Pelodiscus sinensis: one gene and its partners. The main gene of each other region encodes a partner of the protein of the gene in region 2 in a complex. Links are inferred from orthologs where the notes say so. Each region holds a gene or a part of one and is shown on either strand. Other genes may lie near its edges.

Evidence for each region. Proteins that work in one complex are often made in the same cells at the same time.
Region 1: the proteins of GDF5 (region 2) and RGMB are in contact, whole or in part, in a crystal structure (PDB 6Z3J), measured with the Homo sapiens proteins. The link is inferred for Pelodiscus sinensis from reciprocal best matches to the Homo sapiens genes GDF5 and RGMB. Residues at the interface, in NP_000548.2 of Homo sapiens: Leu396, Arg399, Phe435, Pro436, Leu437, Arg438, Ser439, Asn445, Val448, Ile449, Leu452, Ser455, Met456; in NP_001353437.1 of Homo sapiens: Gln57, Thr60, Phe63, Val64, Thr67, Ser68, Leu70, Asn71, Tyr88, Leu103, Val104, Ser107, Ala108, Leu110, Gly111, Ile112, Asp114, Leu115, Gln118.
Region 3: the proteins of GDF5 (region 2) and TWSG1 are in contact, whole or in part, in a crystal structure (PDB 8BWL), measured with the Homo sapiens proteins. The link is inferred for Pelodiscus sinensis from reciprocal best matches to the Homo sapiens genes GDF5 and TWSG1. Residues at the interface, in NP_000548.2 of Homo sapiens: Glu434, Phe435, Pro436, Ser439, His440, Glu442, Asn445, Val448, Ile449, Leu452, Ser455; in NP_065699.1 of Homo sapiens: Cys26, Lys28, Cys31, Ala32, Ser33, Val35, Ser36, Leu39, Ile40, Cys44, Gln45, Cys46, Arg47, Cys73, Val74.

The regions. Positions count from the first base shown.
Region 1 is NC_134716.1:69,370,565-69,378,444, forward strand, and holds the start of RGMB (repulsive guidance molecule B), read right to left. Parts: upstream 3,216-7,880; 5' UTR 3,170-3,215; intron 2,303-3,169; 5' UTR 2,216-2,302; coding exon 2,211-2,215; intron 1-2,210. UniProt on the Homo sapiens protein: Member of the repulsive guidance molecule (RGM) family that contributes to the patterning of the developing nervous system. Acts as a bone morphogenetic protein (BMP) coreceptor that potentiates BMP signaling. Promotes neuronal adhesion.
Region 2 is NC_134728.1:31,475,435-31,482,826, forward strand, and holds the start of GDF5 (growth/differentiation factor 5), read left to right. Parts: upstream 1-4,275; 5' UTR 4,276-5,120; coding exon 5,121-5,754; intron 5,755-7,392. UniProt on the Homo sapiens protein: Growth factor involved in bone and cartilage formation. During cartilage development regulates differentiation of chondrogenic tissue through two pathways.
Region 3 is NC_134712.1:85,173,609-85,180,818, forward strand, and holds the start of TWSG1 (twisted gastrulation protein homolog 1), read left to right. Parts: upstream 1-3,995; 5' UTR 3,996-4,160; intron 4,161-7,210. UniProt on the Homo sapiens protein: May be involved in dorsoventral axis formation. Seems to antagonize BMP signaling by forming ternary complexes with CHRD and BMPs, thereby preventing BMPs from binding to their receptors.

The sequences.
Region 1 (7,880 bases), on a different chromosome or scaffold from region 2:
TGTGATTAATAGCGTCCAATTTTGTTATCAGTAGGTGTGAAGTGAGATATAATCTTCATTAATTGCTTTACCACTTAAATCCACTTTCACTAGGACCCACATTTCTCTTTGGTGTAGTCAGGCAGACATACCTTATCCCCTTTTCTTCCAACCCCCAAGACTGCACTGTGTTGAGGATTTAGCTTACAGAGGAAAATGGGGATTCTGTAATTAGTGCTTGTGCTTTTAATAATAAGGTGAAAATGAGTAGGCCTATCCAACATGCCCCATATAATGAAGGATGTTTGCATAGGTGCTAGAACTAGGAGGTGAAGGTGGTGTTGCTGGCTTGAAGTGGTTTCCATTATAAACAGGGTTTATAGTGTGTTTCAACACCTGTCAGCACCCCCACTACACAAATTGTTCCAGCATCCCTGGTGTTTGGTCTGAAGTTTGCAGTGATCAGATCCACAGCAATTCCTTCACCTTCTTTTCTTTGTTAAGTTGTACTGAAATTTGACCACAGTGATACACCTTCTCCCTCCCCATCTCTCTACCCCAACCAAAGGCATTAGGAAGCATGGGAAAAAATAATTCAGTAGTATGAAAAAAAAAGTTTAGAAACAGTCATTTCTTGGACTAATCCATTTTTCCCTACAAAAATGCTTTATCTGTACAAACTACCCTGTTAAGTTATCTATGACTGTCTTTGTAATTCCTAGCAAATGCACATGGAAAAGTTATCAAGAGAACCTAATTATATATTAAACTAACCATGTTGACAGTGTCTTTTCTCATCACTGTATCCTGTAGTTGTGCCAGTGACAAAGAGCTGATTCTCCCTTGGGCATGATTCAAGCCTTTTAGGTTGTATCCACAATATCATCATAGTGACACCACATAGGAATGATGTATTCTGTACAAAGCTGGACTTTAACCATTGCCTTGGGGGCAATTGTGGTATCAGGTGTCTAACCCAATTTTCTTTTTAGTTAAAAAAAAACAAAAACAAAACGTGATTTAAATTGATAAAAATCAAGAATTTCGAAAATAGATCTTTCACTCCATCCTTAACTTCTCCCATTTGGTGACCCATTAAAGAAACATGAAAGACTAGTTCTTCGGAGTTCTGTGCCAAAAAAACTCAAAGTGACTTGGTTTTTTTGCTTGTGTTGACTTTCTAGAGTTACCGCTTTAATATCGGGTTTTCCTAAATTAGTAACCAGGCTAAAATCAGATCCTGAAATCCCTCCTGAGGCGATATTCTCACTGAAGTCGGTGGCATCTTTGCCTGCTGCTGACTTTTAATTGTTCCAATTCTTTTGCTGAGTTCGTCAGTTCTGTTCTTTGGCAAATAGAGGGCGCACTTGAGTTACTCCGAATTTTTGGGTTATGAAATGTAACTATGTTCATTCAAAGGAGAAAGTACATTTTATTGTTTAATTGTAAAATTTGTCAAGCCTGAGATTCAGATGCCTAAAATTTGCATATTTGTTATTATAAAAATGTATAATCCTTGAGCAGAAGACAATGTTGTTACGAGAATAGTTCAGAGTCTCAAGTGTCAGGATATTAAAATTAGCAGAGCTATTTGCATAGAAAGGTCATCGTTAGTGTGCGCTGTATTTCATAGTAAAAGTTAATTATTAATTATTTGAATTCCGTACACAGTTTTTATAAACAATATCAAATTTGTCTCTGGATTTTTGAGGTGTACATTTAATTTTATAACCCACCAAAGATCATCTAAACGAGGATCATAGTAGTGAGTTGAAAATGTAAAAAAGGAAAATAAGTCAAGATTTTTTTAAAGCCTCGGACCTTTCCTTCTCGCTTTCTTTTCCCCCAAAAAGGAAAACAAATGGCAAAACAAGCAGTGACCCAACAAAAAAGAGAAATTTAATGAGCGTGTAACTGGGAAAAAGTCAAACACATGCAAGAAGCATTACTGCATTTTAAACAACCTGTGGTTTATTTTCCAAAAGGTATGCGTCATGCCTTAACTGTTCCCCTACTGCTATAATCTCAGTTGCAGAAGCACAACACAAATATCCTCTTGGTCTGCTTATTATATTGGCATGTGAAGGAAGAATAGCGGGGTCTGAAACCTGGGGTTTCAATTTGCAAAACAAGTCGTCATATTCCCCACTATTTCTTTTGCCACTGTAATGAAGGCAAAGTATCAGCAATAAGTACATAATAAATCGACTTCTAAATATTTTTGTACTTACATCATATTTAACCCTTAGGGTGCGGCGCCGATCGCTGGAGTCAACGCTGCATCATGTTCTCCTGGAGGACGGGATACTTTGCAAATTAGGACCTGTATATTAGATCATTAAAAACGTTAGGTCCGTCTTCGCAAGGCACAGAAAGCGTTCGTTACTTGGCCCTAAATTGATGGGGCCCTAGACTTGCAGATACTGACTAAAGTAGCAGGTGCGGAAAGCATTTGGAAGCCGCCTGCCAGAACCGAGGAGGTAATGCTTTTCCTGCCCATGTATCTCAGGAAACCAACACAATCGTCCCTCCGAAACAAAATTAACCTCTCGTTAGCCAGAAAGTCCCAAGAAAGCTCTAAAGTGTTCAGGACTCTCTCCCCACCCACCCACTTTCCAGACAATGCAATTACTGCCGTCAGTTACACTTTCGCTTTCCTACCGCAGCCTGGGCTTGCATGTAGTTCTCTGATAACCGGAGAAACTGTCACTGCAAAGAGGGAAGCACACACCTGCCGAGCTCTCCCTTCCCCGGGCCCCGAGAGGGCTTCGTTAAGCCCGCAGTTGTCTGGAACACAGAAACACGCGCGCACACGGACTAGTCTTGGGATCCTTCGGAGTAAGTTTCCATCAGTGCCCCCCTGGGCCTTCTGCCCTTTCTTCCACTACATGCTCATAACTGACCCTCGGATGTTCTTGTTGTCAGCTGAAAGCCCAGCGCTGGGGAGCTACACTGTATTCTCGAGCCGCTCCGGGGTTACATCAGTGGAAAGCAATGTGGAGCAAGAGGTGTTTATTTTATCAGATGCAATTTGTAATCTGCAGATATGTGAGCGATTTCAGATGCCCGGCGGGACACTGGTGAGCGCGCCTCCCTTCCTTGCCACGGGTGGCTCCTTCGAAAGCGAGAGACAGGTGGATTGGCGACACACACACACGCAACCCCGAGACCAACAACACAAACAACTCACCACAAACATCCCCGGGTCTTCATCCCTGGTGCTTGCCAGCTGGGAAAAATGGCAGCAAGAATGGCACAGCGAGTCCGTCGGCGCTGTCGGAGGGGGGGGGGGGGGGGAGAGGGCCGGGACAACGGATCAGCCCCTTTCCCCTTGGAAGATGGGACTGATAGCGACACCTTGGCGAGCGATCGGCTTCATCTGGAGCGCCAGTGAGCTCCCCCAGCCCCTAGGAGTGTCTGTCTGTCTCTCTCTTCCTGGCACCGGCACAAAAGGAGGGGATGTGCCTTTAATGACAGCGTGATCTTTCCGCCACCTATAGCAAACAAATGAGGGGAGGGGGTGAAAAGAAAGCGAGCGAGAGTGCAAAATAATTCCCCCTTCCCTCCTGGGAAGCTGCTCTCTCTCCGGGGAGGGCGGGAGCCGCAGCACAGTTCCTCCGCCCCCAGCCAGTGGCTCCTGCCACCGCTGGAATGTACCTGCACATCTGGCTGATCAGCTGGGCATGGCCGCGCCAGCCCTTCCCAGTCAAGGCTTTGCACAAAGGAGCCTTTTACTGGCCGACGTAGCCCTGCCTCGATGTAGGCTGCCTTTTACAATCTCCCCAGCCTTGTTCACAACATCGTATCAGACTTCCTCAGCAAGCAAACGTAGGCAGTGGGAGTGAATTACGATATGAAACCCCCTCCCCCAGCCCTCCAACAACCCCCTTATTTTGGGGGTATTAACAGCCCTTTTATAACCTGAGCATGCAAAGTAGTTTCAACAAGCTTCCCCCCCTCCTCCCCCCCATAGGCCTCTGCCTGGTTTCTCCAGATGTTTTGCTGCCAGCGGCCAATCTGTTTTCCATCCCTCTCCTGATGGCGTTTTATTATGTACGTTGTTGTCCAGTTCTTGAGCTAACAGTGAATCCAAATAACAACAACAAAGAATCGGCGCAGAATGTTTGGCTGAAAATCTGACCTAGTAAATAAGCGGCTGCATTTAACTGGAGGGAAATTTGGCCTTCGGCTCATTTTGTTTTGAATTCGCTAAACTATGGGGAGGGGGGAGAACAGGGATGAATTATAAACGCTACTGTGTTGTCTCAGGATCCAGCCCTGAAAGTCTCATTCAGACCCATCTCCTTTTCAACCAGAATAGCGCCATTTAAGTTGCCACAGCATGGGTCGGAGAAGCTGAATTTGGCTTTCTTGTTTTCCGGACTGTGCGTTTCAAGCACTGAGCAGATGCACTGCGAGATGCTAGCAGCTTTTTTTCCTCCTTTTCCTGTGAGAATTCCTGGTCCCTCATTTGCTCAGTCTAGCGACCGAGGGACTGATTGCCCATTGAAAACCCATGGAAACTCCTCAAGGACTTCGATGGTGTTTGGATCAGGACCCAAAACAACTTGGTAAGAGAGCGCAACCAACTATAGCCCAGCCCTTTCTCCCTCCCCTTAGTTAATTTCACTTCTGTTTCCCTTTGCCAGGTATTCCCGGACATAGGATCTCTTTGGAGCTTCTCGGCTCGGGCAAGAAAAACAATAGGAACATGCTCTTCTCGTTAAAGAACATTTCAAACAGCTCTGTTCCTAGCCCACAGGAACATGGGATTTTAATTTACCCACTTGCTTTGGCGTTTGAAAATCCACTGCAGCAATCAGGAGAGCAGTAGCTTTGATTAAAAATCCTAAAGGCAAGTCTCGTGTGTTTTTCTCCCCCCTATCCTCCTTCCACAGGCACAAAGAAAATTCGGCACATGAAATAATGATGAGTAAAAGTTCAAAGCAATCCCAGAAAGCTGGCCTGAGAGAATGTTTTCTAATGCAATCCCAGTCCTTTACTATTCTTTCTTTCTTGAGTTTCTGCCAATGCAACAGAGATAACAGAGCAAAGGCATGGTCCCTTTCTTCTTACCAGAAACATTGCTCAATATATATTAGAAGTTACCTTAGAAATCAGGACTAACATAAATACAACAATTAAATATCTTTTAATTTTTACTAGAACAGATCCCTTTAGCTTTTTGCCAACCCAACTTGGCTAGGACAGCTGCCCCTCCTATATTTTTGTCTGATTTCCGGCACATTAGACACTAGGTGAATTATTTACAGGGAGGTCCTTGGGTGCTGGAGAACCAGACAGGACATAAGCCCCACAATTACATTGGCACAGGCATCTGAACTGTTCTTTACATGCACAGTGATCTTTATTATTTGAAGTTTACTCTTAACACTGTGATCCCAATATTAAGGTAGTTAATATTTTACATTTATGACACAACTGCCATCTAAGAATCTGAAGGTGCTGCTTTTCAAACACTAATTAAACCCCATAACATCCCTAGGATTCAGAGAAGTGTATTTTTTCTGATACATTTTCATATAATAAAAGCACAGGAGCACCCATAGTCTGGCAAAACACAAGTGTGAAGAGAGCTCATTAGATGCTGGAAAGCATAAGGTCCACATTCAGTAGGCATTACCACTGTCTGCTAGGCCCTCTCAGAGAATGACAGCGGCCCAAGCCACTTTGAGTTTAGAGGCTCCACCCCCAGGTAGCAGATGTATTTAACTTCTCATTTACAGGGTCATACTAAAATCAAAAGAATATATGAAAATGAACACTTGAAACATTTATTTATTAACAATTAAGTCATTATATCAATAGCATATATATTTAAAATGTAACTTTAATTGTGAGTTTCCACTGCAAGTAAAACTCTTCATTTTAGGAATACTTTTCTGGTTTTGTTGTGTGCAAAATTGTTTATAATTGAAGAAAAATCTAATTTAAGTGCAACATCACTGTTAATGTTAAGCATTGAGAGCCCATTCAAATGTTCTTGTCCCATTGTAGAACGATGATAGTTCTTTACTTGTTTTAACACATTGAATATGCATTCACCTGAAGCCACTGATGCAGGGAGACTGACAAAAATATATAGTGCAATTGTGATATTGGGAAATACAGTTGACAGGCCAAGATTGAACATTTCTTGAAGCAGTTTTTTTGGCTTGCAGTCCGATTTAAAGTTGATGGAATGTATACGTTTCAGGAAAACAATCTCGTCATAGAGATTTCCTGAAATTTTGTTGTTGAACCTTTGTTGAAACTGTTCAGCTGCTGAATATAGATCTTCATCACTTAGTTCTCTGAATTCCCAGAGGAATCCAAAAAGTGTACAAATTTGTTGCAGTGACTCAAATCAACATATAAGACCATGTTTGATGAAGTCAACAATAACAAATAAAACAACAACATTGGTTCGATACTGCCTTTCTGCATCCGATTGAGATGTTAGCTTGTGGAAAACTCAGATGAAATGTCAATATCCTGTGCTTCTGATTTGGACTCAGAAAGGATTGCATTCCACGGATCATGAATCTTTTGAATATTTTTAAGAAACCATTCAACGTTATCCCTCTCAACATATAATAGCATTGCATGCTTCAATTACAAGATTAGTTTTGTGGATTTTTTTTAGCAGCTTCATCCACATGGACGATATTAAAATGCATTCAAATTTGGATGTATACTTCTGAATTGATTTAAACTTAGTGCAAGCCTGTGCCCTGAGAGTAAGAGATTCAAGCTCACAAAATTTCTCACAGAATCCAAATGCTGTGCAACTGGTTTAATGCCATCAATTCATGCTGACCATCTTGTTGTTGACATGCTGTGAAGGGGAACAGGCAGATGCTGCTTCAGAATTTCCCATTTCTGAGGACTGCTACTGAAGAGGTTGTACAATCACTCAATTGTTCCAAAGTATGTCATTGTTTCCTTGCATGATTCAGTGCAGTCAACACTGACAAGATTTAGTGTGTGGTTGCCATAACGGAGAAAATACAGTTTGGATTTTGCTCAAGAAGGACTGCTTGTACTCCATTGCACTTCCCAGCTGTAATGGATCCATTGTCATAGTCTTGGCCAATACAGACTTGAAAATTTAATTTGAAGCCTTCCAGAATTTCTAATACACAAGTGGCGGTTTCTTTTCTTGGTTTTTTTGTGTGAACTTATCGAACAAAATTAATTGTTCTTCAATTGAAATCTTTGAACTTCCTGCAATTTTAACATATCAAAAAACCAAGGTTGTCTCTTCTTTATGAGAACAGTCTGGAGTTGAATCAATAATAATTGAAAAGCACTTCACATGTCATATCTCCTCAAGAACCGTTATTTGCCCAAATATCCCACATAGCTCAATAAACTCATTTTGTATTCTGGTAGACAGATAATAGACTTACACACATTTTCCGATCTCTCATGTGATTCACAAACACACTTAAAATGGCCTGATTGTGTCATACTTGCTAAGAAGCTCACGGATACCAAGAAAGTTTCTATTTGTAGAGTCACCAATTGTTTCCTGGAACCAAACAAAGCCAATCCCCATTCAGAAAGAAAAAGAATGACGTTCAATATGTGCTCAAGGAGTTTTTTCCACTTAGCAGTTTCTGTGTTTATTTCACTCAGGAGTAAGTTTTCAATTGAACTGTCAGCTAGTGCTGCTCTACTAGCTGATATCCATGTAACATAGTTATCTTTATGCGATACTGATATTTCATGTGAAAGTATTTTGTCTTTTAAAACACAGTAACACACAGTAAATTAATTTTCTAAAGGCTATTGGTTATACAAAATTTTAATTGTATATACTTCACAATGAATATGATATAATAATAGTTTGGGGGTGTTATTTACTATGACCCTTATATCCTTATTTCAAAGTCTTG
Region 2 (7,392 bases):
GGGACGCCTGGTGTTCCGGGGCATGGATGGGGATGTGCGTCCCGACGATGGCCCCCCTCCCCCCCCCGCAGTTGGGGAAGCTGAGGGCGCCGAATCCCTGGATAACGGCATCCGGGTCGGCAAGGCGGACCACCCTGCGGAGCAGCACCCGGTTGATGGCCTTGACCACCTGCGGAGAGAGACACAGCAAAGCGCCAATCAGTGGGGCGCCCAGGTGGCTGGGAGCATTCGTGCCCTGGCAGTGCCCCGCGCCCCACTCCTGGAAGCAACCCCCCTGGCGGCGTGTAGTACGGCCGGGACAGACCGACCCCTCCGGTGCGGGGCGCTTTCGCCTCCTCCCGCCCCCCCCCTTTATCCCTGGGGTGGCCCATCCCCTCCTTGCAGCCCCCCTCCTCCTCTGGCGTTGTGGCCGGCGAGTGCCGTACCTGCATGAGCACTGCTCCGATGGTGGATCTCCTCACGCCAAACTGGTTCCCGACGGATCGGTAGCTGTCCAGCATGGAGAGCTTCCAGAGGGCAATGGCCACCCGCTTCTGGAGGGGGATGGCGGGCCTCATGCGAGTGTCCCTTCTGCGCAGAGCAGGGGCAAGCCACTCGCAGAGCTCCAGGAAGGTGTCCCTCCTCATCCTGAAGTTATGGGTCCACTTCCCAGCGCTCCAGGACGATGCGGTCCCACCAGTCGCTGCTGGTGTCCAGACGCCAGATGCGGCGGGGCACGCCGGTGCCGGGGCGCCGCCACGGCTCCTCCACGGCCCCCAGGGCGGCCAGGTGGAGAGGCAGGGGGCTGACGTGCACCAGGTGGTGCCAGGCAGCCTCGAGCCATTGCTGGCAGGCTTGCAGCAGCAAGTCCAGAAAGTGCACCAGAAGGTGCAGGGTGAGCTCTGGCTCCATGTTGCCACCTGCGGCGGCGGCCCCGAAGGGAAGCACCGACACAGACGGGCACAGAGACCAACGCTTTGCTGTCCCTCAGCGAGGATGGCAAGCAAGCAGGAAAAGCTGAGAACCGGCTGTCCAGGGGGGTCCCTTTAAGCACAAGCCTCAGATAGCCTCAGACAGCAGCCACACAACGCAATTACTGACCTGATGCCCTGCCAGAACCGGTTTCAGCCGCCCTTAAATGCGCCCCTGCGTCCAATCAGTGTGGACGCGCTAGTTCGAATTAGCAAAACGCTATTTCGAACTAGTTTTTAGGTCTAGATGCGTTAGTTCGAATTAGCTTAGTTCGAATTAACTAATTCAAACTAAGTTAGTTCGAATTAGTGCTGTAGTGTAGACGTACCCAAAGATTTAAAGAAGAGGGCTGAGTAATTGCTACATTTCTCACCTGTACAGTCGTGTTGCAACCCACTTTCCCACCTCCACTCCTACACATTTAGCTTCCTGGTTCCCTTTGCATGACTTTAATTCACGATGTGACGAGGTGCAGTCACAGACAACCCTTCGGAGGTGGCTCCCAGGGTGCTGACATGGCCACTGCTACTCACCTTCCTGCTCTCTGGGGCTCCTCACCACTCAGTGTCCTCCCCCACCCGTGAGCAATGCAAGTTTCAGCACTGTAAAGTGGCAGTGTAGACACTGCTTCAGCAATGGGAGTCACTCCCCTCATAGAGATGGCTTTATTACAGCACTGGGAGATCTCTCTCAGTGCTGGAGCTGTGACTATTCAGCTACAATAAAGCCCTGCTGCAGCAGTGCATTAAAGTTGGCTGTGTAGACAGAGCCTTAAAGCTACTTCAGCCACTTTCTTACCAGTACCCTATCCCAGCTTATTTTCACCTCTGGTCTCTCCTAAACCAGGCCCAGCATTGTGTTTCCATCTATTGTGACTGGAATAATGTTATCCTTTGAGCTGAAAAGCTTCTACTGGGTTTGTGAGGCACAGGCCTGGGAACAGTCACATTGCATTTGAGATCAATCTTTTTACCCGTGGCCTTCTCCTGCCCACAAGTAATGCAAATTATGGGACCTCCTCCCTTCTTTTCATTCCTCCAAGTGTGATCTTTGGCATATTATTCAGCCCCAAGGCCATCCCTGGGGAGAATGCCAATGTGTCCCGTGCCTGTTGAAGTTGTGTCCAAAGGGGCTGTTGCAAGCTGTAACCATCCTCTCATGGACTCCAACGTAGCAGAGATGGGCTTCTTGGGCTTTCCTGACAACTCACAATCTAATTTTGCTTCCAGAAAATATTCTGAGAGGTGGACTGCCTCTTTCGCACTCATAGCCTGCTGGTGATGGACCCACCCCTTGCTCAGATGAGCTGGCTGAATTGTTGAAAGGTTACCAGCTTCACAGTTTCCATCAGATAGAAAACCTCTGGTTGTTGTTGTTGCGGGGGGTGAAAGTAAAAGGAGGACTTACTGGTGCACCTGGAGCCGGGGTCCTGGGCGGCTCTGGGGCCCCAGAGGGGTAGGGCATTGGGCAGAAGGGGCAGGCTCCTCCAGACATCCCTTTGTGCCCCAGGGCTTCAGCAGTAATTTGAAGGGTTTGGGGCTCCCAGCTGCTTCTGTGGTGGCCGAGAGTCCTGGGCACTTTTCAATTACCAGGTACTGGGGCAGCACCCCCTTTTACTCCCCCCATCAGCGGCCCAGCCTTAGGGTCCGGCAGTGCTACCGTGGCAGTGTTTCTCTGCCCCTTTTGGGGCAGCAACATCAAAGTACTGCCATGGCAGCATTTCTGTACCTTACCAGCAGGGCTTCTAAAGGGTGAAGGACTGAAAGAGGCAGCAATGTTAAAACAAGAAACAAAAATGCAAAAAGTAACAAACACAGCTGTCTGTGTAGGGCTTCAGCAGCTACCAAATCAGGCCTTTCTACCTTGTGGTTGGACCCATGCGGTACTTTGTGGGAACCCTCTCAACCTCTCCAATTGAAGCTGTTCCAGTTGATATAAAAATTAAATATGAATGGGGTCACAGAGTGAGTCAGAATGGTCAGCACTGAATAGCTGTAAGGCTTTAATCCAATGGCTTTGTGGCCAGGGTCCCCATCCAAGGCCCATTGGACACAAGTGCCTAAGAGTTCCATCCGAGGGACCATCAGACACAACATGGCAGAGAAGGAGTTCTATCCAGGGACTCAAGGGGCCTGGACTCACCAAGCTGGCTAAATGGAAGTACCCCAAAGGAATCTGCATGGGTGCCTTTCTTCTCTGCTGGCCCCTGGATATTTTTCCTGAGCATCCTTTGCCTCCTCTCTCCATTTTGGCCTGTATGACCCCTCAATAAGGGTATGTCTACACTACCCCCCTAGTTCGAATTAGGGGGGGTAATGTAGTCATACGGAGTTGCAAATGAAGCCCAGGATTTGAATTTCCCGGACTTCATTTGCATAAAGCTGGCCGGCGCCATTTTTAAATGCCGGCTAGTTCGGACTGCATGCCGCGCGGCTACACGCGGCACGAACTAGCTAGTTCGTATTAGGCTTCCTAATCCGAACTAGCTGTACACCTAGTTCAGATTGCTGGGACTGAGTTCAGTTTCACTCTGGGGCAAGGGATTGAGTTCAATCTTATTTGATCTCAGACAGCTCTTCCATCCCAAGGTCTCATTTAGAAACCCATTTTCTACAATTTACAAGACAGATTTGTTTGTTCTGCAGTATCTTTAAAATCAGAATACAAACTGGTTTAGTTTGACACATCGGACAGTTCCCATTGCTAAGTCCCAACACGGTGATTATATGCTATTTCTGTGGAGGTTTCAGAATGGATCATTAAAGTTGCGCATTTCACTATTTAGTAAAGGATTGACATGAAGCCATTAAAAGAACGAGGGCTTGTCTACAGTAAAAAGGTGCTGCAGCGCATAATGCAGATGCTGCCTAGAACAACAGGACAACAATGTAGTTACACCCACATCAGTTGCTAGCATAGACCAAGCCCGTGAACAGTAGTTTTAGAATCCTATTTTTCTGGCTCCCCCAGTGCCTTAGGTTGACAAAAACTCTATTTTCCTGCAGGGGACACTGCTGCTTAATTCTGGACAGAAACAGAACTTGTAGGTAAGTTCTACTTCAAGGAACATATTACAGAAATGGAGAAATCTGAAGAGAAATGAAATGCTGTCTACAAAACAGGGAAACAATCCCAGTGTATTTCATGATGCTTCAGTTCATTTGTTCAAGTGTTTGCATCAAACTGAAATTAACTTTATTTTCTAAATGTATAACAATTAATGCTTTCAAAATATGTTAATTGTGTGAGTAGATGTACAAGACATTAAACTTTGTCCTTGTTAAAAACTTGCTTTGTTAACAAAGTCCTTCAGTTAGCAAATGACCAAGTGACTTCACTGTTGCAGTTATAAAGAAAAGATTCCAAATCTAGAACTATATGAAATGTAAGACACTTGAATATGATTATTCTAACAGATTCTATACAGTATTAATGCTGTTAATTTGTTCTATTTGAATATGAAGTTCATCTAAGGCTAATGTAAAGGTTGTATGGCCACTTTAAATGGCATCCTCTGGAGTTTTGATCCTACAGAGTTGTTTCACATGAAGCAGAGTATGACTCATGCTAATGCAAAGAGTAAAGAGGATTTTTTTAAAGAAATATATCGCAGTTAAATTAGTTTAGACAGCATGACATCAGAGAGTAATTAAATAGGTTTTTGTTGGAATTCCGTTTCCAATTCCTGAGTTCAGGTTTGCAAAAAAAATTCTAAGCACCTGCAGGTCTGTGTGTGTGAAATATTTTCACTGGAAGGGATTCAAAACTTAAAAAGAAAAAAAGAAAAAGAAACTTGTAACACAGAGGCAGCATTACGCCATTCTTCCTTCTTGGAAAAAAAAAACACAACCCACTCAGATTTAAACAAGTCTCCTTCAAGCTTTCAGTCAGTTTTACAGAAGAAAAGGGGGTGGTAAACCTTCTCTTTTCAAGAACAAGTTCTTTTTAGCTGCTAACTGAGGACAGGAGAAGATTGGATTGGAATAAATGAGCATTTCCACTATGGGACTGGATACAAATGTTAAACAAACAGATTTAAAATGTTTTAAGCTTAAAAGAAATCTGTTTCTGCTGACTTCAGTTTTTAATTTCTTTAATGTTTTTTTATGCCAAACTGGAGGAACCTTTTCTGATTTTTTCTTTAGTGGCATTCAAAGGAAGACCAGAGGATGAAAATCTTGCACTTTCTCACTTTACTGCTTTGGCATATGACTTGGTTCTATCTGGTTCTAGTTTCTGTATTGTTTAGTAATTCTGTAGCAGGTCAGAGTAATCCAGGATCCAAGTTAGGATTGTTAAAAGCAGAAGGAAAACAGACAAATCCCTCACCAAGGGCAGGTACCTTTAGGACTGGAAACCATGGATATAGTGCTGGGACCTTAAAGGCTAGAGCTAAAAGCAATACTGTTCAAGCTGGAGCTCTCTTGGCAAAGAATAATGAACCAAAGAAGAGTCTCTCTAGAGAAGGGACCACAGACACAAAGGTAGGGCAGTCCCCATACAGACAATCTGGAGTAAGGACAGTGACCCCAAAAGCTCTGAACCTTGGCATCAAAGCTTCACTCAGAAAAAGTAGCACAAGTAATACTGATACCAGTTCTTATAAAACCAAAAAGGCTAATGAGCCAGTAACACAAAGGGAACCTAAAGAGACTTTCAAACACCCCCCTATAACGCCACATGAATACATGCTCTCCCTCTACAGGACTCTCTCGGATGCAGAAAGAAAAGGCATTAATGGAAGTGTAAAACTGGAGACTGGACTTGCCAACACAATAACAAGCTTTATAGATAAAGGACAAGGTAAGAAAGGTGCTACCACATTTGAGTGTGCATGTCACGTCAGTATGTATGTGGTGCATGTCTGTATATACTGTTACCTGAAAAATAACCATTACTAAAAGAAAACAGCTTGACTGATTCATATGTAATCAGAATCACGTAACTGAAAGGCAATTTTTCTCTTTTCAGTTTAAGTTTAGAAGATTCTTCTGGCAGCAGGCTATAGTATTTATATGCTTGTGAAGCAAACCCTTTAGGGACAGGTTTTCAAAGGCAGATGCCTAATCGAATTTTCAAAAGCACAGAGGCACCTACCTCATATTGAAATTAATGGGTGTTAGATGCCCAGGTGGTTTGAAAACCCACTGACTGCCTACTGGCATGTTTAGGTGCCTAAACACCTTTGAAAATCTAACTCTGGGGCTTTTCATACTTCAGCTACAGTAGTTGGTAAAATATCTTTTTCTTTCTTGCGAGCCGTATGTCTACAGGCACATGGTGCCACAAAGACAGTGCTATTTCTGTGCTTTTCCAGGAGCCAAACAAAGAGGCTCTTTGTTAAAATGCTGGCCTCTCCAAGGAGAGACCTGAGACGCTGTGGCATGAGTTTTTGATTGTGGAAAAATGAGAGAAAATTGAGATAGATTTGGGCACCTCTTCCTCCAATAAATGAACAGGCTTTATTTCCTGATCATCATTTAGCTCTTCTGATTGGTGAGATGGACAGTGTCACAGATCAGGTATTCACCTGACACTTCTAGTAGCATAATTTGAGCCCGGTGCTGCTCTCCTCCATGTCAGGATGAGTTTTTTTCTGGGACTGAAGGGAGTATGGATGGTGCCCATAAAGAGCAGCTCCTGGGAATGCGATGGAGGAGGGAGCAATTTGAGGTTGTCACTGACAATCTCCTCTGGAATGGACACTCAGAAGAGATTTAATTATCACAATTTTGCTGCTATAGTGAAATGGGATGCTGCTCAGCACAGCTGCAGTCCAGATGAAATACTTGATTCTCCTTTGGAAGGCCATGTTAATGTAACATGGTGAGTTTAAATAACCATGTTTCTTAATAGCGTTTCTTATGAACCTTACCAGGCAAATGGAACAATTTTTCAGGGGCGTTATATTTTTTGCACTGTCAGAATAAGTTGCGAGCCTTAATAAAGCAGTTACCCTGATGTCTGGCAGTTTCTGGAGGATTTGGGTTTGAAGGGACAAACCATTTCAATATCTCTTTGTGAAATTCACCACTGTGCAAGGAACAGCATGAGTCCCAGGCACCACCTAAACCCCACTTCAGTCCTATTTCAAGAATGCAAGTGGTAGCATTAATTGTGAGGGCTCAAACCTGAAGGAGGAATTCTGCCAGTTGGCTAATTGATACTTTGGGGCCAGAAAACACCCAGGCTACGTCTACACTGGCGTGATCTTGTGCAAAAACTCTTTAGAGCAAGAGTTCTTGCATTAAAGTAGTTGCGCAAGAGAGTGTCTACACGGGCATGTGCTTTTGCACAAAAGCATCCTTGCCAGTGTAGACACTCTCTTGTGCAAGAAAGCTCTGATGGCCATTTTAACCATAGGGCTTTCTTGCGCAAGATATTCATGTTGCCTGTCTACACTGGCCTCTTGTGCAAGAACAGTTGCGCAAAAGGGCTTAT
Region 3 (7,210 bases), on a different chromosome or scaffold from region 2:
ATTGCACAAGATTCACCTGAACTGAGCTATTGTGATTCTGTATTCTGGCCATGCCAATTCTGGTTCACAATCTCCACAGACTCTTCACCTGCACACCACTCTGCTTCGGGACACTCCCTGATGTCCTCAATCAAAATTGGGGCCAGGTCCAGCATCCCAAGCTAGGCCATCTGCTCCTCATAGCCTTCTATTTGGATGAGGTTTGGGGATAGACAGGGTATGTTCCACTCTGGTGTAAGACATCCTTATGCAAAGGAGGGCATCCAGCAGGTTCTGCTACATAGCTAAATGGAGACACTTTACCTCATGGGGTCACCGCCCTCACCGTCCACTGAGTGCTATATCTATGCCTACCATCCTCACCTACCTTCTCAATTTTACCCTTAGCTCTATACGAATCTACCTGTCAGTGCTCAGTGCTTTTGTCTCACTTGTGGACTAGGGATGTAAAATCCCGTTTAATCAGTTAACTTTTTTAAAGTTATGTTTAACCGATTAACCGTTTAAATGGGGACAGGCCAGAGGAACTGGGCCAGAGCAGCATGCTGTGGGCAGGGGCACTCCAGCCCACTCAGAACAGCCCCAACTTGCACCAGACTGGGCCCACCACAAGGGGGACTGCTCTGGCCAGGCTGGAAGGCCCCCCGCCACCCGCAGCAGAAGGCCCCTGCCAGTTAACCATAACTGGTAAGCGTCACCTGGTAAAGATGATGATCATCGCTTAACCAGTTAACCATTCACATCCCTACTGTGGACAGCTCCACTGAGTTTATACAACTCTACCACCATCCATTTCATGAAGGGTTTACTCAGTACCTTCCTGTTAGTACTCAAGCCTACTCCCCAGTTGGACTTGAATCTTGTTCTCTCAGCCCTCATAAAGCCACCCTTCCAGTCACTGGCAACAAGCTCCCACCTCTCATGCAGCTGATATTCTTGACAGTCATTACCTCAGCCAAACAGGTCAGTGTACTATGGGTGGTGCCCCCTCTGTCCTTTTTGCCTGTCTCCCCACCATAATCAGAGCCCACAAACCTCCTGCCCCCCCTCCCCACTGCATCCAGAGCCACAAGACCTCCTACTTCCTCACATAGCCAAAGCCCTGATACTCTTGGCCTAGCCAGAGAAGCCCCGATATCCTCTGTGATCTTCTTGTAGATTAGGGAAATTACTGAGGAATCTAGGAAGCTGAATAGCCCATACTATCTACTCAGGAACCCCAGAACTTGCATGAGGCATAATAAATTAAAAACTTCCTTTGCCCCAAACCCTGTAACTGAGGGTCTGATGGAGGCAGAAGCATCAGGGAAGACAGAGCCATCCTTGCTGCTTATACCCTCCATCCATCCTGGCAACCCCTCCTCACAAGAATAAAGTTTTCTTTTGGTTATACCCTAAATAACTCCCGAAATTGTGTTAAAGTTCCACCTAAATCAGTGCATCCACCTACATGTTTTCTGCCATAAGCCCACAAACCTCCCACACTGACAGAGTCCTGTACTCCCTCAATATCCACCATACATTCTACTACCACAGGACTTGCTCATTTTGCACATGGCCAAAACTATTTGTGACCGTGGCCATTGACAACTGATTCAGTCCTCTCATCCAAGTGAATCTCCAAATGGGTTTCCAGGTGCATCTGCGAATGCTACACACAATCAACATACTTCCACTTGATGGAGACATAGGGCACTCTACGTGAGTGCAAGCAGCCACACTGACCTGCCTCAAAGATGACTCCCGGCAAGACATATGGCATGTAGCAACCTGGCATTCCATCCACGTGTTCACATACTACTATGTCATTGCTGAAAGTAGTAGCTACAGGCTCTGCTGTGGGCCAGCTTGTCCTGCTGACTGCACTTTCACTGGCATCCTCACATCTACCTCTTCACTGATCACTGCTTGCTAATCACTCAGGTATCTTTCATAAAAGATGGATACATAAGGGATCAGAGTGGATAAAAATCAGAGTGGGTTTTTTTTTTTAATAAATCAGGTTTTTTAAATTTAAAATCTGATTTTTTAATTTAAATTGGATTTATTTTTTTAAATCAATAAAATACTCAATTTCTCATTTCAAAAATAAGTTACAGTTTAATCTAATCAAAAGCATGCTATACCTACACCTACATTGTCATAAAAATAAATTACTTGCTCTAGTCTGTCCAGTCTAACTACCAGCTCTCGCTTCTTAAAAGTTCTGGGCTTTCAATTCCTGTTTCTCAGCAGACTACAAAGTGCAAAGAGCCACTGGCTGGATAGGATTGTTTTAGTTCTGTGCTTATATGATGGTGGAGCTTAGCCAAGCACAGTAGAGCAGTTAGTTAAGCCATTGTCTTAAAGACAAAGACAATATATTGGAAAGGATGGAGGTAGCATAGAAAGGAACAGTGAAAAGTACTGGGGGAAAAAAAGGAAGCCATTATTCAGAACACTCATAGCTTCCTATATTCCCCCCACTTTTGCCACAGACAAGTGCCATCGCTTCTAGACATAAGAGAGACCCTATCTGGAATAGTTTGAAGAAATTTGTTCCCTGGGTAAAAAAAGAGAGAGTGTCAAGTGTAAGCAGTGCAAGAAGATGCAGGGCCTAGTTGTGAGAACGAAACATCATAAAGAAAACTGCTTATTGGGAGAAAATGATGTGGATATTGACAAGTAAATTCCCAAGCTGTTTACTGTGTTGGATGTTGCTAGGGGAAAAAAAGTTTAGTTTAGCTAATCCTTATGGCTTGTTTAATTAGTTAACAAGGTTTAGACTATCACTCAAGTATACAATACAGAAAGCTGCAATAAGAGAAATCTAGATTTGCCAGTTGCTGCTGATGGTAATTTTGATTCATATTACATAAGACATTACCCTTATTTTGGAACATCCTGGCCATAGATGCCGTAAGTCCATTCCCTATTTTACTTCAGCATAACTCAGCTCTTCCAAGGGAATCCCATTCCATACCCTGTCATAGTGAAGCTGCCTCCCTGTGAGCCAGCTGAATTTAACTGATACCACTAAATAATAAGCAACAGCTAATTGGTTAAACAATTAATTAATTAAACTCTAACATCCCTACTGTAGGCACAGCCAGTCATTGCTGTTTTGGTAATTTGATTTAAATCAATGATTTTTTTGTGATATAAATAATCTTGATTTAAATTAGTCTACCTAGATAGGGACCACAACTTGAAAAAAGAAGAGGTCACTTATCCTCAACTGGAGGTTCTTTGAGATGCATGGTCCCCATTTGTTTTCCAAGACCTGCCCTTCATCTCCTTTACTGTGAATTCAAATACATAATAAGAGGCCCACTGGAGAGACATTGATTTGCACAACCAGCTTCAAGCATGAGGGGATGCATCCTGCTAAAAACACTTCTGGACACAGGAGTGTGCACACCCACTCGTGGAATACAAAAAGGGATCACATCTCTAGAAGAACCTCCGGCAACAAAGCACGACTTTATAGATCTCAGCCATATACCTTCTCCTGGCTCCTCTCTGTTCTCAGTTCAACAGTCTGGGCTGGTAGCATCTGGCCTTGCATGGAAGCTGTCGCCCACCCTCCAACTGCTGCCCATGGCCCTTCTCTGTACTTTTCCCAAGTCCAGTGTAACTCTTTAGAGGGAGGCCACCAGAGCAGCCCAGGGCATTCAAGCCTATTTTCCACTCCAAACACGCAGCGATTCAGTCCAGTGTTAAAATGTGGAGCAGCTGCCACATCTGGGGCCCGCCTGCTGCAGAGGTGGCCAGGCCTCAGGGGCTGGGCCGCCCTCCGGCCGGGGAGCCCTTTGCAAAGTTTGGCAACTTGGCCAAACCGACCCGGGAAATGGTCCGGGTTTGGGGGGGGGGGGGGAGGCGGAGCAGGTCTCCCCGAGCGGAAGGTGGGAGCAAGGTCCGGGGGGAGCGGGGGCAGCTCCGCAGTGAGTGCGAGGGGGGAGCCAGCCCCACCCCCACGAGGGAGGGAGGGAGGGTCCCGTCCCGTCCCGTCCCTTGACGGAGCCCCTAGGCGGGGCGCTGCCGGGCCCTGCGCGAGCGGCGCGACGCCTCCTCCCTGCGTGCGGCCGAGGCGGAGGAAGCCGCGGGCTGCACAGCGCGGCCGCCCCCGCCGCCGGACCGGAGCGCCAGGCACAGGGGCTGCCCCGCCCGCGACGCCTTTGGTAAGAGACCCGCCGGGAAGGGGGAGCAGAGCGGGGCTGGGCAGCGAGGCTCGCTCTGCTTTGTAGACAGGCTGGAGACGGCCCCGGGCACGCCGCGCTGGGGGACCCCCCCGCGCCCAAGCGCAGCCGGGCACTGGCGGGGGGGGGGGGACCGGGGACTCGTTGCTAGTCCTTGGCTCTGCTTGGGGTGAGCGCGGCTGCCCCCCCCGCCCCGGCAGAGGGGCTGCTGCTGCTGCACCCCCCTTTCCATCGCACGCAGGGGTTACAGGTCGCTGCAGCGGCTCCCAGCATCCCCACCGCGCGCACCGTCCCAGCGCCCTGCCCCGCGGAAGGGTGGGAAAGTTTCAGGAGCAAACGTTTGGGTTTGTTTTTTCCCCCAGGAGGCTTGTGCCATGGCCATCTTCATAGGAAAATGGTGACTCGGACAGAAGAGCGGGGGGGCGGGGGGGGGGGAGTCTCCGTGAATTATTAAGTCAGTTCGAGGTGTTTTGTGTCATTGGGAGCTGCTAGTACATGAGCTGGTAGAAAAACTGTTGGGGGGGGGGCGGGGGGAAAGGTGGCATTAAAAGCAAACCCAGCTTTGTGTGTGTGTTGGTCAGGCAGTCAAGTTCAAGTGGGTGTTAGATGTACAAACCTCCTGAATCCCCCAACCTGGGCAGTAGGGTATGTTGGATTGAGGAGGTTTTGTGTGGCCCATGGAGGGTGCTCGGGCAGGGCTTAGGAGGGAGGGCGTGTGAGGGGGATGGGAGTGAGGGGGATTACTTGGCTCTGTGCCCCCTTCTGCTCACAGGCATCCCCTTCTACCCCCCCCCCGTCTTTTTTAAAGCAATAAAGAGACACTTCCAATGAGGCATCTTCCCTCCGCTATGAGGAGAGGAGGAGTAGCAGGCATAGACCTGATTGCTCTTCCCCTTTGACTGGGTCCATACCACAGGTGTTTCTGGATTAGGGACACCCAAAGTACAGAGATTCATGTTGTGAATTGTTTCTGTACTGCTGCACTGACAATCATTCACTTGAAAACTACCTAGCTACCCAGGGCAAAATGAAGCTCCAAGGAACAGAGACCTCAGTCTTATTTCTGTGTATGGAACCAAATTATTTGAACTATGCCCTCCCTCAGCAATTTTAAGGGGCAAGAGCAATGTAGATAGTGAAGGGACAGTTCAGCCATACAAGGGCTCTAGTGATCTGGTCATGAACCAGAGTCCCATTGTGCTAGATGCTGTACAAACACAGAACAAAAAGAAGTTGTCCCAAAGAGATTACAGTTCAACTACTGTACCTCTCGTTTCTGTTCAGTGTTCCTACCACTTGTGTTGGCCCAGACCCATTGAAGGAACATGATCTACTCCAGTGTTTCTCAACCATTTTTTGTAATAAAGTACTTCCTTTAAAAAAATAAGTACCCCCAGTACCTACAGTTTTCAGACACACACACACAATTTTTTTTACCATTGCAGCAACATTTGATTAAACAACTTAATCGTAGCCAGGTGAGCAATGACATTTTTGGGTGTAAAAAGTACAAAAATAATAAAGCGCTGTAAAACTTATAACAAATTCAGTTTTCTCCAAATTTCAGTTGTGTTGACAAAACCCCCACGTTTCTCTTGAGTACCCCAAGGGTACCTGTACCACTGGTTGAGAAACACTGATTTCTACTCTTTTGCTGCCATAACAAACTCTCTGACGGCAGTACCATAGTGATAGAAATGTAGCCGTGTTAGTCTGGGGTAGTTGAAGCAAAATGCAGGACAATGTACCATCTTGTTAGTCTTTAAAGTGCTACATTGTCCTGCATTTTGCTTCAACGGCAGTACCATATGTTTGTGCAGGTGAAGAAGTTTAATCACCAACTCATGATGGGTGTGTCATGGATATTTTCTCCCCTGTGTCATGATTCCTTGTTTTAGATTAGAAAGCATTTTTGTTTAGGATGGACTTAGCTAGCCCATGTTTGGACTAACTCAACCAGCCGAAATCAAGCTAAAGATGTTGACCAATTTTCACAGTTTAGATACAAGATGAGTAACTTGTGTTAATTAAGCCAGATCTAAACTTGACCTTATTCTAAGTCAAGGTTTAGTGTGCAACTTAGGGAATCATTAGGAATGAGCCAATGAGAGATAGCTGGCAGAAAGTGAAGGTAGGTGAGGAATGAAGACCAATGAAAAAGGTGTGAGGGGCAAGCTGGGGATGGGTGTAGTGAAAATGTAGATTGAAAAAGTAAGTGGCAACTAAGATAAGCAATGGAACATGGAAATGGTTAGCCACTCACCCCACAACAAAGATCAATATTCAGTTATCAATGTACAGTAATTCCTCATTTAACACTATAGATATGTTTCAGAAAATGATCGTGTTAAGTGAAAACATGTTTTGCGGGGTCAATTTTCCCATTGAAAAGAATGGAAAAGGTGGGGGTTGCGTTTCAAGCGGTGGTGTCTGTTGGGACCGGGACATAAGGTTGGGGGAGAAAGGGGACTGGGTTACAGCAGGGAGGGGAGGTGTTTGGCTCTGGGGAAGGGAAGGAGAGGGGAGGGGGATTGGGTTGGGAGTATGCCCCTGTGACCGGTCTGCCAGGACCCACACTGCGTCCGGTGAGGGGAGTCGCCGGGGAACAGTGCGGTGAGCGACAAACCCTCTGCCGTTTTGCAGGGAGGCGGGGGAAGCCCCGCACAACCGCCAGCAACAGGCCGGTTGGGGAAATTGTGTTATTCCAGGGATGGTCGTGTAATTCAAAAAACGTTTCCTAAAAAAATAAATCATGCTATCGTGAAAACGTGTTAAGCAGGCACGTGTTAAATGAGGAATTACTGTAACTCCATAGCAGCATATTCATGTTTGTATTAGCTATCCAGTTGTGTATTCATAAGCCTTTTGATATATATTGACTAAATCCAGACTGATGACATTGAAACAATTTGGTGCTACGTCAAAACATGACTTAATTCACTAATCTATCAGAGCTCCTTCTTTATCAGTATTTGTTTATTTACTATATCTTTAGTTTAGCTCCTGTCATTTTTGATTAAGATAATTATTGT